3 linked regions of the Drosophila melanogaster genome follow. Each later gene encodes a partner of the first gene's protein in a complex. Each region holds a gene or a part of one and is shown in the gene's direction. Other genes may lie near its edges.

The links.
Region 2: Psc (region 1) and ph-p share a complex: the UniProt entries of both Drosophila melanogaster proteins name them as parts of the PRC1 complex.
Region 3: Psc (region 1) and l(1)G0020 share a complex: the UniProt entries of both Drosophila melanogaster proteins name them as parts of the PRC1 complex.

Annotation. Positions count from the first base shown.
Region 1 is NT_033778.4:12,977,940-12,982,931, reverse strand, and holds the start of Psc (posterior sex combs), read left to right. Parts: upstream 1-1,937; 5' UTR 1,938-2,884; intron 2,885-4,710; 5' UTR 4,711-4,768; coding exon 4,769-4,992. UniProt on the Drosophila melanogaster protein: Polycomb group (PcG) protein. PcG proteins act by forming multiprotein complexes, which are required to maintain the transcriptionally repressive state of homeotic genes throughout development.
Region 2 is NC_004354.4:2,133,568-2,138,582, reverse strand, and holds the start of ph-p (polyhomeotic proximal), read left to right. Parts: upstream 1-1,960; 5' UTR 1,961-2,531; coding exon 2,532-2,566; intron 2,567-5,015. UniProt on the Drosophila melanogaster protein: Polycomb group (PcG) protein. PcG proteins act by forming multiprotein complexes, which are required to maintain the transcriptionally repressive state of homeotic genes throughout development.
Region 3 is NC_004354.4:8,716,158-8,721,911, reverse strand, and holds l(1)G0020 (lethal (1) G0020), read left to right. Parts: upstream 1-1,634; 5' UTR 1,635-1,746; coding exon 1,747-1,949; intron 1,950-2,008; coding exon 2,009-2,456; intron 2,457-2,516; coding exon 2,517-3,795; intron 3,796-3,855; coding exon 3,856-4,825; coding exon of another isoform or gene 4,826-4,829; intron 4,830-4,846; exon of another isoform or gene 4,847-4,965; coding exon 4,966-5,092; 3' UTR 5,093-5,199; downstream 5,200-5,754. Other genes in the region: CG1789 (uncharacterized protein), read right to left, coding at 469-678, 803-1,306; CG1785 (uncharacterized protein), read right to left, coding at 5,202-5,598, 5,661-5,754. UniProt on the Drosophila melanogaster protein: RNA cytidine acetyltransferase with specificity toward both 18S rRNA and tRNAs. Catalyzes the formation of N(4)-acetylcytidine (ac4C) in 18S rRNA. Required for early nucleolar cleavages of precursor rRNA at sites A0, A1 and A2 during 18S rRNA synthesis.

The DNA of each region.
Region 1 (4,992 bases):
CTGATTCACAAGCTGGCGAACTTATCGCCTTGGATGACTCACACAATTGATTATTTTGCTCCTGAAAAGAACAGTTTTTTTTTTGTTATTCCCTGATAATGTTTATATATACATATGTGCCAAAATTTATGGTTATACGTATGTATATACCTAAAACAAGCGATGTATTAAGTTATATTAAGATCTTTACCAAATCATTTATTAGGTTCTTTACTGAAAGGTAAATGTTCATTGAATCCTTTACTTTGTGACAGAAATAATAATCATAATAATAATAATATATTAAATACATAACTAATCATTATAATCAAGAATTATTAAAAAGCCTTTGGAGGTCCCTGTAATGCTGGAATTTTTCTTCTACGGTGAAAACTGTGTGCGAAAGTGTTTACTGGAGTGATTACAAAAAAAAAACAAATCCCTGCCTAAAACACCACTTAAATTAAAATTCATTGGGGTTTTTTGACCATCACTATTGTGAAAGATATGATAACAGAATGCAATTCTATTATGATTCCGTAAAAGTTCACGCAAAGACAATTCTTGAGTGCATATTTTGTCTAGACGATTCATACAAAAGGCTAAAAATAGACCAAAAAGCACATTTTCAATAAAATGCAAGCTTTCGACATAAGGTCCGATCGGTAAACAATTTTATAGTAACATGAACTTAAAAAAAAGTTGGAAACAAACTAAGACAAAACAAAAATATTTGTTGATTGAAAAATATAATAACATTTAAATGTTATGTATTCAATGATAATTTTAGTTGTTTGGCTTGAAGGGTACTTTTACAATTGTGTACTTATCAAACTTTTAAATATAAAATTTTAATATTTTTACAGTTTTAATATACTCTAAGATTACTACTGTATTTCTTCTATGAGAATAAAAATCAATCTTTATTATTGTTTGGGATGAAACTTTAAAAACATTTTGTAATTTATTAAGGCTAGTTTAAGAAATGGTTGAAATATAAGAATAAGAAATATAATAAGAAATATATTAATTTAAAACCTCCTGACATCTCCGATTTTACTGTGGGCAAACCAATCAATAAAAGTATTATAATAGAATGGAAAATGAATAAGAAATTAAAAAATTTTAAAAAGAAGTTTTCCCTGCAATAAAACTGAAAGAAAAAATCTTTAGACTTTTTGATCTGCGAACTTCGAAGACTTCAGAATAGTATTGGGTGAGTACGCTACTATTTAGAGGATAGGATCATTATAAATAAAAATATGCAAAATAAACTCTTAACTCCCACGGCAATGATAATAATGGTGTTAATTTGCATGGAAAGTATCGTCATGGTACGGTTCCTTCGTTCGCAATTTATCCGTTAGATCTGCATTGTTACGTTACGTAGAGCAGTCTAACGGTTAATTCGCCAAGACGGAAACGAAGTTGCTGCTTTTATTGTTGTTGGCTGCCACTGATTGGAGAGCTCTTTCGCGCTCACATTGTGGTTGTTGCTGTTGCTGCCACTTCTGTGGGGGAAAAAAGGAAAAGGCAAGGGAAAAGAAGCAAAAAGCATTTCCAATTTGGAGGCATTAAATAGCGTGGGAGCGAGAGGGGTGCAGATATAGACGTACGCCTACGTGCAAATATGCGATTTCTGCTGACGGAAATTGCAAGTTGCGATTACATAGGCACTCATTCTACCTTGATTGCACATGGTCTTATGTATTCCGAAGTGTTTGCAGATGGATAAGAGCCCGTAAGAGTTGTAAAACCTCTGCCATTTATGTGCAGCCCTTTGTTCTCTATCCCCCTCCCTCTTCAATTTTCCGCTTGTACATACAGAAACGAACAAAGAAACGGCTGGCAAAGCAAAAGAAAAGAGCCAAACGCCGACGTCAATGTCGGCGTCGACGCAGGCAGCGGCAGCGACCGACGATGTGGCGACCGAAAAACAGAGTCAGCGAAGAGCGCCTGTTTTAGTGCAACACCAACATTCAACGAGAGCGGTTCGTCGACGCTGTGCGGAAAGATTACAGAGCGAACGAGAGAGACCGAGCCAGAGCGACGACGCCCCGCAACGAGAACAACAAAAGAGCCGAGTGCGCGTGCAAGAGAGATAGCTGACTTGTTGCCCAGTGAGAGGCCGGCGAGAGCGAGACGGACGATCAGTGTGCGAGCGACGAAAAAGAAAACAAAGATACTCGCCCAGAGCAGTTGGCTACCTGTCTTTGGCCTGGTATATAAGTGTGTGTATGCGAGAGAGAGTAAATAGCGGGCAACGCAGCAGTACATAAACGAAAAGCAGCGTGGTCGTTAGTCGAACAAAAACTCTCAAAGCGAACGGACGTGTGCGGTCGGTTGTTTCGATACTCCTGCTTTATCGCTATCCAAACAGAGTGAAGCGACCACTATAAATAACGAAACAAGAAACATGTGTTTATATTACAACCAGAGCTCAAAGCTTCAGTTGCATAATAATAATAATAATAAAAAAGCAATCTGAAGCCAATTTCCTTTGTGTGACAAATGCCGTAGCAGCAACAACAGAAGCACAACACAACTACGTCTGCTGGCTTATGTACGTCGCGCGCGCTTGTGTGTGTGTGGGGCAGAAAACATAGAGCAAAGCATAATACACAATAAAGGTGCCCGCGAAAGCAGAGCAGCCGAAAGTGCCAGCGCGTGTTGGTGTGGTTTGAATGTGCAGGCGAAGTGAAGAAGTAGAAAGAAAATAAAATAAAATAAAAGTGAAGTGGAGCATAGTGAAGAAAGAGAAGCAGAAACGCTGACTCAAAACTCAAGTGTGGATTATTTACTTGGATTATTCCTCTTGCCATTGGATTATTTATGTATACAAGGCGACCACCGCGATGCCAATTAACTGGCTGGATTATTAGTGGATTAAAGATTGGATACAAAGGTACATGATTGGCGTTAATCAACACTGCTCTCGACCGGCAGCTGTTGCGCTCTCCCCCCACCAACCACAGCCCCTCTTCTGTTTTCTCTTGATGACCCCCTCTCTTTCTTTCTCCTTTTGTCCCAGCAAGTAAGAATTTCGATTGGACACACGGCAATTGAAAAAGGGGAGCATGAGAATATGAGCGTGTGTGACTGATTTTTTTTTACTGCTCTTTCATTTAGCAACGTTTTTTGTTTTATGTTTATGTACTTGTTTCTTTGAATGAAAGCAATATGCGAGTGTGTGTGTGTGCGTGCTTGTGAAAGAGGAGATAAAGCCGCAGTCTCGGTTCTGCATTCTCCGAATTTTCGCTGGGTTGTTGTTTTTTCTGTTCCCTGTCACAGTCTCGCGTTTCCCTTCTTTCAACATCCCTTCGCATCCCTACCCACACACACACACACAAACATACGCGAGCATATAAACACACGCACACCACACACAAATAAGAAATTCCGCTGCTTTTTTTTTTATTATCCTTTTCATGTTGGTACTCACTCACATTTTTTTGCGCGCGCGAGAATCCCTGAGACTTTAAACACGGCAATGGAATGGGTTCGGTAAAATAAGAAGGGAAAGGGCCAACAGAAGGGTTCCTCTTTTCGCACAGCACTTAAAAGTGATGTAAAAAGGATTTAAAGAGGCCTGCTGGCAATTTCTTTTCGCCCTCTCCCATATACAGTCATTCATATTCCATTGCCATATTTTCTGTACACAAATATAATTTTCCATATTCTGTGTGCCCCCGGAGTTGAAAAAGTTTTTCCGAAAAGTTTACCGTATGTACCTTGACTTTTTACTGGCGCGTTGATGCAAAAACAACTTGAAGTTGTTTGAAATACACATTTTGTTCGACGCCCCCACAGATCCGCCCCCCACTTTCGATGTACTTGGCATCTGGTTAAAACTCCACTCGGCACTCTTCACTCTCCCCCCTCCACCCTTCCATCCATAATAAAACAAAGCACCCCTGTGCAACTCTGCTCCCCCCTCTTTTGATCCCAAAAGTGCTGTGCATTTCAATATATTCGACGTAGGCATTCCCATGGCAACTACAACATCCATTATCGAGGGCCCCCACATCCATCGACTGATTGCAAATAATAGCTGCCAGATTGCGACTCCTTTCTGTCTACTGCTCAAGTCCCACAAGCTTTAATTTGGGACATCATGTCTGAGTTAAATGCATTTTGATTTCTTTGAGCTAAAGCGTTCTCTAACAAATTAAAGTCAAAGCATATTCACTAAACTCTAAAAATTGAAATGATCTTTAAGTTTCGATGTTCATGCAACAACATATTTGTTTATTTTACTTAATAAGTTCTTGTCTTTGATCATTTATATTGAGTCAGCGTACTTGGCAACATCATTAAAATATTTTCTGAACAGATCTCTTATGACGATCACTGTAGAAACTTTATCACCATTTCAACTATATTAAAACTGATTCACGAAGAATGATGCAAAAGAGAAGATTGCAGTGAGGAAAAATACGATCCCACCGAGTTCATTAACTCTACCAGTTTTCCCAGAAAGTGTATATTTCCCTTGCCTCCATTATTCTATCGTAAACAGCGAGGGGCGAGTGGAGCTTTAAGCTTCTTCGCGCACCAACGAGGCTATACCGATATAGCTTCGGCTTATTGCTTTCTGCGGCTCAGCGTCTGATTTATTTATAATCTTCAGCACGCTCTCTTCTCGAGTCGATTTACATTTTCCATTTCACATTTTCCATGCGCTCCTTTATTCGCATTTAATTTTAACTTCTGGCATTATCTATTTTGCAGATTGACGCTTGTGCGAAAAACAAAAGCGAATTTTTAGCGGCGAGAGTGTATTATTACTATGATGACGCCAGAATCGAAAGCAATACAGCCGGCAGCAGCAACAACAAAGCAAACAGCAGAAGCAACAGCAACAACAACAATGGCTCACACACAACAAAAGTCGCAGTTGTCAACGTTGGCGAAAACAACAACGACAACGGCAACGAATAAGGCGGCCAAAAGCGTTGTCAGCAATGCAAATAGCAGTGGCAACAATTCGAGCAAAAAGCTGGCTTTGTCTCA
Region 2 (5,015 bases), on another chromosome or scaffold:
CAAAAGCACGCGCAGCAATTTACGCTCATTAGGCATTTGTCATTTTTACGAAATGCAAATATCGACTCTCTCGCTCATGCCCTAGGAGTACCATTCGCCCCAAACACAAGGAGCAATAAGTTGAAGGCAATTATAAATGGCAAGAAGAAAAGCGCATGCTCGACTTCTTGTTGTGTTGAACTTGTGAGGAAAAGGCGAAAGAGGGAAATAACGGCGAAGGAGGAGGTCACAACTAATAGAAAAAAAGCTCCGAAAAAACAAGCATACACACACATCGAATGAGAACAACCAAAGCAAGGCAGAGAGCGAGAGAGAGAGAGCAAAAGCACTTAAAAAGCCTAAAAATAATATGGCGGCAGCAAAAAAGAAAAGGAAACGAGACGAGACAAGCCAACAAAAAGCTAATCGGAATGAAAACATTTGTGGGGCTCAGCGACGTTGTTGTTGGATGAGGTGGGAAGAGTAAGAAGAAGACCAACAAGAGCCCAAAGCAACGCACACATACTACAAATGGTGCATGCACACACGCACGGGCTGGCACAAAATGAAAAATGAAATGACAAAGACAGGCACAGTGGGTCATGAGTGGTGGATATTTGAAACATTAATAAACTTAAAACTTAATAAATCAACTCAATACGTATGTCTATTATATAATTCTATTTTACTAAACGTTTTCATTTTACTTATCGTAACATTGTTTATATGTATAAAAAGTTTGGAAAAATTGCTGTTCTAAAAAATTGACCCACTGTACTCTTGGTTCTCAAACTGCAACTGTAAAGCAATCCAATAATAATGGATCGCTTACCACTGTTCAATGGGGTGGAGAGAATAAGATTTCGCTCTGCCTCTGCGCATACGCTATCCTCCCCTTCTCAACCGACACACCCGTGTGTTACTGACAAGCACAACTAATAATAAGGTAAAGCCGATCCGACCCGATCTGATGTGAAAAAGAAGGAATGAGAAAGGAGGTAGAGGTAGGAAGGTAGTCGTAGTGGTGGTGGTTGTGATGGCACGAAAAAAGAAGATGAAGTATAGCAACAATCGTTGTCGAGTCGGGCCGGGCGGTAGACATTCGAGTGTACACACATAAAACTGGCTTCGCGCGTATTTATGTATGTACATACCCGGTACCCACAAAGTAAAAGGGTATACTGGGCACTTGGTTTTAACTGGAATTTGTGTTAGTAGTCAGCACCAATAACTTACAAATAAATATTTAAGAAGGGTTTTCATTTTAAGGATACGACTGAAGTTAGCGAGGAATGGTATATGAAAAAGGGGTATTTGAAAGTCGAGTCACCAGACCATGTTATGTTTTCAGCAACGGAAGGGGGCTTTCAGTCGGGGTGGTTGAGCACGCATACACATGCCCGCCAGCTGTAGTCTTCCTGTTTTTTTTACTCGTTTTGGTTTTGCTTTGTCAAACGAACTGCTGCCGTTTCATTCCAACCCCAAGCGAACGCACGGCATCCCTCTCGCACGCGCTAACTGGCCAGGGCCACTCCTAGTGGCGTCGCACTCGCACCCGTGCATTTCGGTATAGAGAAAAGTTATTAGTCGCAACGGCATCTGAGAAGAGAGAAGCGGATCCAGCTGCACACCAACACACACACATATTCAGCGCACATGCGCTCATTTTGTTTCCGATCCGAACGAAAAGTAGAGTTGTCGCTGTGGCGCGCGGTTCAGTTTGAAACTTAACTTGGCGGTGTACGGTTCTTGCGCTCTGCTCTCTCTGCGTTCGTGTTGGTGTGGTGTCGTATGTGTCGCATACCGCATCGCATGTGTATTGAACGAAGAAAAAACCCGCCGACGCGACATACTCACTGGATACCCTGCAAATTTGTTAAATTTTTTTCAAAAAGAGCTAACGGTGCTGTTGATTAGCTAGTGCAGATGTGCAGACATAAAAAGTGATGCCGCGCCACAGTGGAGCCCCTAGCTGGCGAATCGTCGCTGGCGACGTAGGCAGTGCAGTTAAAACAAGTACTTAGTGCTGTGACTGTGGCTTAATTTTATGTAAGATCGCGTGCACAGGTGCTTAGTCGTTACACTGAGAAAAAGAAAAGTGCCTGCAGCCAGCGGGGAGAAGTTGAAGTGGAGTGACTGTGAGTGGAGGTTGTACTAATTACTACTGCCCGTGCACGAAACACTCATTTACACGCAAGCACACACACACACACACACACACACGAGACACTGGGACTTTTGTCGGATTTTCGTATTCGTTTTGTGTACTTTTGTTGTCTTGCGTTCCACGTTACATACATATGTATATGTTTGGTGTTGCCTGTTGTATGTTTATATTTATTGCCTTCACACATGTGCGTGTTTGTTAATGTACAATATAATACGGCAAATAGCAAAAAGAGAAGAAACTGAGGACTAAAAAGAAAGCGCCATGCCGACTATAACAAAAACAACCACGAGTGTCTCCGCCGCCGCCGAAAACAAAAACAAAACGCCTAAGCCGACGCATGCATACCTATAATTTATTATAAATATTGTTTTTATTTTGAATAATGGATCGTCGTGCATTGAAGTTTATGCAAAAAAGGTATTTTTTGTTTAGTTTGGTTTTATTTTTATCACTGCTTTTGTACTGCCTGCACTTGTGCTTTTTGTTTACAATTTTTGGTTTAATCTGCTCTTGAGCATTGGATATTGATTCTATATCGTATTCGGATAATAATGACACGTTAATCATAATGCTCGTAAAAATGCAGCGAGTGGATATTCTGTGCTCTCTGTCATCATAAAATGCGCTCGACTGGCGGGCCAAGAAAAGAAAATAAATTCATGAAACCCAAAACGAGTTTCCCCTCCGTCGCCCTCTCCGCCATTCATCATCCAACCGACACACGCCCCCCGCTGTGCGGTGTTGTTGCATTTTTAACAACGAATTTCGCAATGCATGCCCGTGTCTGCATTTGTGTGTGTGCGTCGGCTGGTGGTGGTTGATTTCTCCGTCTCTCCGTGCAACCCTCTCTCACTCGCGCAACAAAGCAACATAAAGAAAACAAAAGTTCTATATCGAAAGGTATCAGTTTTTGTTGTTGCTGCGGCAACCCTGCTTACATTTTGCTTTACTCTGCCGAAATAAACAGTCTAGGGTTGTCAGCTGTAACGAATCTGAGAAATCTGTGTTCCGGTTTAACGAAGATTCAATTTTATTGAATACTTTTATATTTCTTACAGTCCGTTATCACTGAATGCTAATTTTTACCTACAAACTTAAATTGTTCGTGGCAAGAAAATAAACCAGAATGATTAAATTATTTTAGACTCGTTTAAAGCACAACAGTTTTTGTAAATAAATAGTTGACAACTCTGTTTACACCTACGCTACACCGCACTCGCTCTGAGTTTATGTGACTGTGTGTACGGCCTGGCCATAGCCTCATCTCGTTCACTCACATTTGTTTCATCTTCTTCGATTGCAGAACTCGTTTGTGTATCAATCAATAGGCTGTCAAGGCCCCCCCCCTCCTCGCTCGCTCCCGCGCATTTTGCACGCCCGAATCCACTGGAGGTGATGTTTGATTTGAGCGCGACCTTTCCCCCGCACCCCTATCGGCGTGTCTGTGTGTGTGTGTGCTGCCCCGCATTTTGATCATTCCTTTCCCACCGCTACTGCTTTCCCCCCGATTGCAAGCAGGCTGTTTTACGGGGGTTCTCACACACTCGAGCTCGAATGTATGTACCCTACTCCATGGCGACATGGAAACCAGTCTTTTTTTTTCTCTCAAGAGGTTTTTCGCAGCGTGCGGCCGTGAGCTTAACTTACACACACTTGCACACGCGCACCCACCACCCTGTGGCGAGTATTCCACCCCTCTGGACCACCCACCCCATATTCCCTTTCTTTTACGGGGTAGCAGCGACATGAGGGTTGCCAAAATGCTTTTACCGGCTTTTATAACCCATTTCGCTCCTTTTTCTGTCTTTTTTGCACTCATGCTTTTTATGCTCTTGCTGTTTATGGGCCTTGCGGGCTTTTTGGGCGATGGAAAGGGGTGGGGATCAGGCTCTCTGGACTGCCGGGCATCACAGTCGCGGTCAATGCAATAGGACCTTGAAACCACGCTTCTCCAGTTAGATCATTCATAGTTGAACTATATCAGGGAACTGATTCAGGAAGTAATATTAGTTAATTATTTCTAGAAAAACATCCTTACCATGTGGAGTACTCAGCCATTTACGTTTGTCCACTAATCCTATTAGCTTGAGCACTACTGTATAAAACACTAACCATCTCGTGTTGCTCCCAACTGTCAGCATTTTTAGCATTTCGATGGAAAGGTCCTTGAACTTCGCCTGCAATTCGCATCGGCTTTATTGCCCTTTTACAATAATATCGAACGGTGCCAGCTGCGTGGCTAAATTAGTTTTCCGGGCTGTTGTTGTCGAACGTTGAACGTGGAAAACGAGTGCGACTACCATGCTGCTCATGGAAATTCGAAAACCCATAGATAAAGATCGATGTGAAATGCGAAGGCTGTCAGGCAGCTCCTTTCTCTTCATTCGTTGAATGCGAAAGTCCGTTAAGTAGTTGGCCAAATGTTCATTGTCGCTGAAAAAGGGCGGGTTCGGAAAAAGGTCCACAAAAAGAACGAATATTTTCGGGATAGGGATTGGGATCGGGATCGGGCTCGGGATCTCTACCTAAAAGTTAACCAGGGTACACAATTCTTAATTAGAAATTGAAATGACATGGTACATATCTTCAGGCTTGACCTTGTGATTAAGTCGGAACTATAGTTTTGATATTATCCCGAGTTAAAGGTGATCGTTACCTCAGAGTCATATTTACTTTTCCCGCGTTTGTTTCTGCCACTCTCGAAAGTCATCTTTTATGTTTACATTGTAAATATGATTATTTAATAAGAGCGTTTTTGTTTGCTAGTTCCCGCATTTGTCTCACACTTTTTTGAATGACTAAAACCAGATTTTTGTATTTACCAAGTAGCCATATTTGCTTAAACAAAAAAAAAAAAAAAAAAAAC
Region 3 (5,754 bases), on another chromosome or scaffold:
AGATAAGAAGAATGAATTTAAAAAATAAGCTGACTTTTTAAATAAAACATTACAAATGTTTAAATTCAGTTTGAAGTTGGGGTCATGACTTGGCTAAGCGTACCTAACTTAACGAAACTCGCACTAAATTTGGTTTGTGCCCTGGAAAGATCTAAATTTCGTTAAATATTTAACGAATCTGAAAAAAGCGTTTAGTCGAGTTACATACCCATTCGCTTTTACTTTTTCTTGTTTTTTTTCGGTATATATTATTCTATTCGGTATATATAAATATTCTGATCAGAACATTCGAATTAATGACCCAAAACTAGGATGCCATATCTCATTTAACTTGTTACTTGCATTTGAATTGCATTCAAAATTGGGAATTATATATGTAATTCCTTAATCCAAAACAATAAAAATCATAGTTTTGTCAAAAGTCTTCAACTAACACTTAATTGCTTTATTAACTAGAGGGGAAATATTCTATTTCTTGCGTTCGTAGCGGAATTTGTAGACGGGCGCACTGTCCTTGGTTCCCGGCTTTATTTTCCTCGGCTTCAGTAGGCGTGGCTGCTTGAGGGTGTTCTTCAGCTGAATCTTCTGCTGGACGATGCCGAGTTCCCTTTCACGCTGCTCGCGTTTCTTCAGCTCGTTGATGCGCTGCTGTTTGATGGGGTTTGGTTCAGTTGTTTTCTACAAAAAATTTAAAGGCAATCGTTACACACAAGTAGAATCATAAATCATAAGTATAATATCAATTATAAATTAGTTTCTCACAAAAGCTTACAACCTCGTTGGTTTTAAAGAGGTGACCTACCGATTTCTTCTTCTTTTCCTCCTCTTCCTCCTCGTCATCATGCTTTAAAAGCCATTCGCCCATGTCCAACTCCATGTATCCGTCTTCGTCAAATTTGATACGTTTGTTGGCTGCTCCCTTAATGGCATCCACGTCCACCAGCGAGGCCTTCAAGCGTTCGATCTTCTTGCGCTCCATGGTGCGCTTCATCACCACGTACTTGAGGTCCTGCGTCTGCATGAGGGCCAATTGCTCGGGCGTGTGCTCGTCCTTCGTGTCCTTCTCGTGGTGCTCATCGTTGGACAGCTTGGAGTTGATCATATGGTGGTAGAACTCATCGGGATTCTTGTTCTGCGCCCGGCGGTACAATAGCTTCAAGGTCTTTTGCTTTTTCTGTGCGTCGATGGCTCGCTTCTTGTAGTCCTTTTTCTTCTCCAGGAATCCCAGATGCTGGCGCGACTCCGGCTGGTGGCGCTCCCTGTGCACCTTCTGGTTGCTTTTCGACGCATTCTTCCACGATGACATCTTCAATTTATGCTAATCCTCGACAGCAATCAAATATGTTCTGTTTTGATAAACGTGCGCTTGGGGAATTAGAGATGCACAACTACTCGATAAATGTATCGCATTGACTCAAAACATCGAATGTGGTGTTAATCGGGAATTTTTAAAAAAATCTCATTGGTAGAAATTCAAGCTGCCTTCTTGAAGACATCAATACAAATCCCACCCGAATTCTACGATTTAAGACTTCGTGTAAACAACATTCATGTGCATTTCACAATGGTAATATGATTGACGATTTCCGTGACATTGTAAAGTAGATAGTTGAGTCGCGACTATCGACAAAGCGCCCATCTCTAAACCGCACACGTGCATTTTGAACGGGCAACAATTTCATTTGCATTATTTACTTCGGAAAACCGGAGTTTTTAAGTGAAAAGTGAACGCAGGAAAGCCGAAGCATGGTGAAGAAGAAAATAGACAACCGGATACGCGTGATGATCGAGAATGGGGTCAAGCTGGGCCACCGAACCATGTTCATCGTCATCGGGGACAAGGCGCGCGACCAGGTTCCCATTCTTTACGACATCCTGACCAAGTCGACGGTCAAGGCGCGACCCACGGTCCTGTGGTGCTACAAGAACAAGGATGAGGCCATCTCCAAGTGAGTATCCAACTGTAGAACTATTACACAGAAACTCAGCTAACTAGATACATTTTTAGTCATGGCAAAAAGCGAGCAAAGAAGATTGCTGTGGGCAAAGTGGATGTCAATGAGGCGGACCTGTTCGATTCCTTTCGAGTGGCCACCACCATTCACGGCAGATACTACTCCGAGACGCACGCAGTCCTCGGACGAACCTACGGCGTGTGTGTGCTCCAGGACTTCGAGGCCCTGACCCCCAATCTTTTGGCTCGAACTGTGGAAACGGTTGAGGGCGGCGGTCTGATCATCCTGCTGCTGAAGACACTGCAGTCGCTGAAACAGTTGTACACCATGAGCATGGATGTGCACAAGCGATTCCGCACAGAAGCCCATCAGACGGTGACCTGTCGATTCAATGAGCGACTCATTCTCTCCCTGGCGGACTGCAAGCGCTGTCTGGTGGTCAACGATGACCTCACCGTGCTGCCACTTAGCTCCAAGACCATCAACGTGGAGCCAGTGAATGTAAGCTGATGCTTGTAAATCTTCTAAAGCAGCTAATACCATTTGTTTCTAAACTTTCAGCCCGCAGGCGCCGGTCGATCGCCCAACGAGGCTAGCCTCAAGGAGCTGAAGGAGAGCCTGCTCACAGTTCAACCAGCAGGAGCTCTGGTTAATCTCTGCAAGACCTACGATCAGGCCAATGCCGTTGCCCAGTTCATTGAGGCGCTGGTCGACAAGCAACTGAAGCCGCCCATGTCCTTAACAGCGGCTCGTGGTCGTGGTAAATCGGCCGCCCTGGGTCTGTCGATTGCCGCCGCCGTCGCCTTTGGCTATGTGAACATCTACGTTACCTCACCGCATCCGGAGAACTTAATCACGCTCTTTGAATTTGTGCTCAAGGGCTTCGATGCCTTGGAGTACCAGGAGCATGCTGACTACACCATTATACGCTCCACCAATGCCGACTACAAAAAGGCGATAATAAGAATAAATATTACGAGAAGCAGCAGGCAGACCATTCAGTACATAGCTCCCAGCGATACTCATCTGCTGAACGCAGCCGATCTTCTGCTGATCGATGAGGCGGCTGCCATTCCTTTGCCGCTGGTAAAGAAGATGATCGGTCCGTATTTGGTATTCATGGCCAGTACGATAAATGGATACGAGGGCACTGGCAGATCGCTGAGCTTGAAGCTCATTTCCCAGCTGCAAAAGGATAACAATGCAAGGCCGCCACTGAAACTGGAGGAATCGATTCGGTATCAGGAGAACGACGACATAGAAAAGTGGCTGATCAACCTGCTGTGCTTGGATGCCAGTACGGTGCCGAGTATTAGCTCGGGCTGTCCCACGCCGGATGCTTGTGAACTGTACTATGTGGACAGGGACGCCCTGTTTTCGTATCACAAGGCTGCCGAGGCCTTTCTCCATCGCCTGGTCTCCATTTATGTGTCCTCGCACTACAAGAACACACCAAACGATTTGCAGATGATGAGCGATGCCCCGGCGCATCATCTATTCTGTCTACTGGGTCCGGTTCAGCGAATGGACGCCCTGCCAGAGATATTGGTGGTTATCCAAGTGGCACTGGAGGGTCAGATCTCCGCCCAGAGCATCAGCGATTCCCTGGGCAGGGGCAAGAAGGCGGCGGGCGATCTGATTCCCTGGAACGTAGCCGAGCAGTATGGCGATCGAGATTTTCCCAAGCTGTGTGGCGTTCGCATTGTGAGGGTAGCCACGCATCCGAATTACCAGAGGATGGGCTATGGCAAGCGGGCCATTCAGCTGCTCAAGGACTACTATGCAAGGAAGCACACTAATCTGGAGGACGGTCCAGTTGCCAGCAAGGATGCTGGTAAAGGTGAGTGCACGCACGCCAATGGTTTATTATGCACTACATAATACTTTAAATTTTGCATAGGTATCGAGGAAGTGGAGGAGGAGGAACTTAGTCTGCTGAAGGAACAAATCCGGCCACGTAGTCGTATACCCACACTTCTGCAGCGCTTGCACGAACGTGTCCCGGAACACGTGGACTATATTGGCACATCCTATGGCCTCACCACCGAGCTGCTGAAGTTCTGGAAGAACGCCGGCTTTGTGCCCGTCTATTTGAGCCAGAAATCTAACGAACTGACCGCCGAGCATAGCTGCATTATGCTGCACACGCCCAATGCCACGCCCTGGCTGGGCCTGTACTACCAGGACTTCCGCAGGAGAGTCCTCAAGTTGATGGGAAAGACGTTCAGGGAATTCGAGACGAAACTCTGTTTGGCCTTGCTGAAGAACAAGTCCGTGGACACGGAAGGTAGTGCACTGAAAGTACTCGATAAGCCAATGCTGGATGTTTACTTCTTGCCGCACGATCTGCAGCGCTTGGAGAGCTACGCCCGCCAGCAGTCCGAGTTTCGTCTAATCATCGATCTGCTCACGGACATTGCCCAGCTGTATTTTCAGGGCAGGATCGATGGTCTGCAGCTTGACCTGGTGCAGCAGGGCATCCTTTTGGCTCTGGGCGTGCAGGGCAAGACTGTGGATGCGTTGGGTCTGGAGCTGAATATGCCGGGTAACCAGTTGTTGGCGAAATTTTTCGATGCCATGAAACGGTGCAATCAGTGCTTCCGGTCGGTACTGGAGGAGCATATCGAAGGCGGCATGCTGCGGGAGGCGGATCTGTCCAAGGGCGAGGAACTGCAACCGCTGACTCTGTCCCTCGACAAGGAGCTGGATCAAACCGCTCAGAAGCTGAGCAAGCAGCAGCGCAAGGAGCTGAAGCGCCTGAAGGCCGAGCAGCTGGACGAATTCCAAATCAAGGGCACCGAAGAGGATTGGTCCAAGGCGCTGGAAACAAACGGAACAGGCGGTGGCAGCGGGCTGCTCTCCGTCAAGAGGTAGGTGCGCCTATTTTTTTTAATAATGTGCTTAATACATAACCACGTTTATTTATTTGTCTCCAGTTTCGTTTTATTATAAACATCACTCAGTTAAAAAAAATATAACTTATTTCGTATTTGCCTCTCTTTCGTTTCAGTGGCGTAAAGCGACTGGATGGACCAATCGAGACGCGTGAGGATGGCGACCTGGCAGCTCCGCTGTCCAAGAAGAAAAAGAAGAACAATCCGAAACAGAGACGCAGTCAGGGCAAGTCCCTGATCTAGAGTTCATAATTTTTTTCGTTTGGGGGGAAAAAGAATGTGGATTTTAATTCTATAGAAAAGTACATATTGTTGTAAGCTCCGTTAAAAATAAAGAGACCTAATAACTGAACTATATCTTGATATTGGCAGTAGCCTTGGCTGCAGCGGCGGCCGCCCTGCGCCGTTCCTTGAGGTCATTATAGCTAACGCCCGGCTCCTTGTGGGAGTTGCGCTCGAAGCGCTTGACCTTGGACTTCTTGCGGCTGACGAGCTTTGTCGTGGGCAACATATTGTTGCGTTGCAGCGTGTGGAAGCGGTCCTTCAGCAGACTGCTCTCAGTCTTCACGTTGCGCAGATTTCCGGCGATATCCTCGGGCAGATTTACGTCTAGGTCTGGCTCCTCGAACTTGTGACGCCCCAGGCGTTTCGGCTCAAACTTGGCCTTCTCGGCGCGCTGCTTGCGGCGCTTCTTTAGATCATTCAGGTCCTCCTCCTCATCGTCTAGCTCGTGGCGAATCGATTTGATGCTGAATGAAGAAACACAATAGAGATTAGAGATGGACCACAACGCCATCAGTTAGAAACTTACCGTATCAGGTCAGCCGTCTGTTGCTTGAGCTTCCTCTTGAGCTCTGTTTGACGCGCCAGCTCCTTTTGCTTGAGCTCGTTGCGGCGAGCCTGCT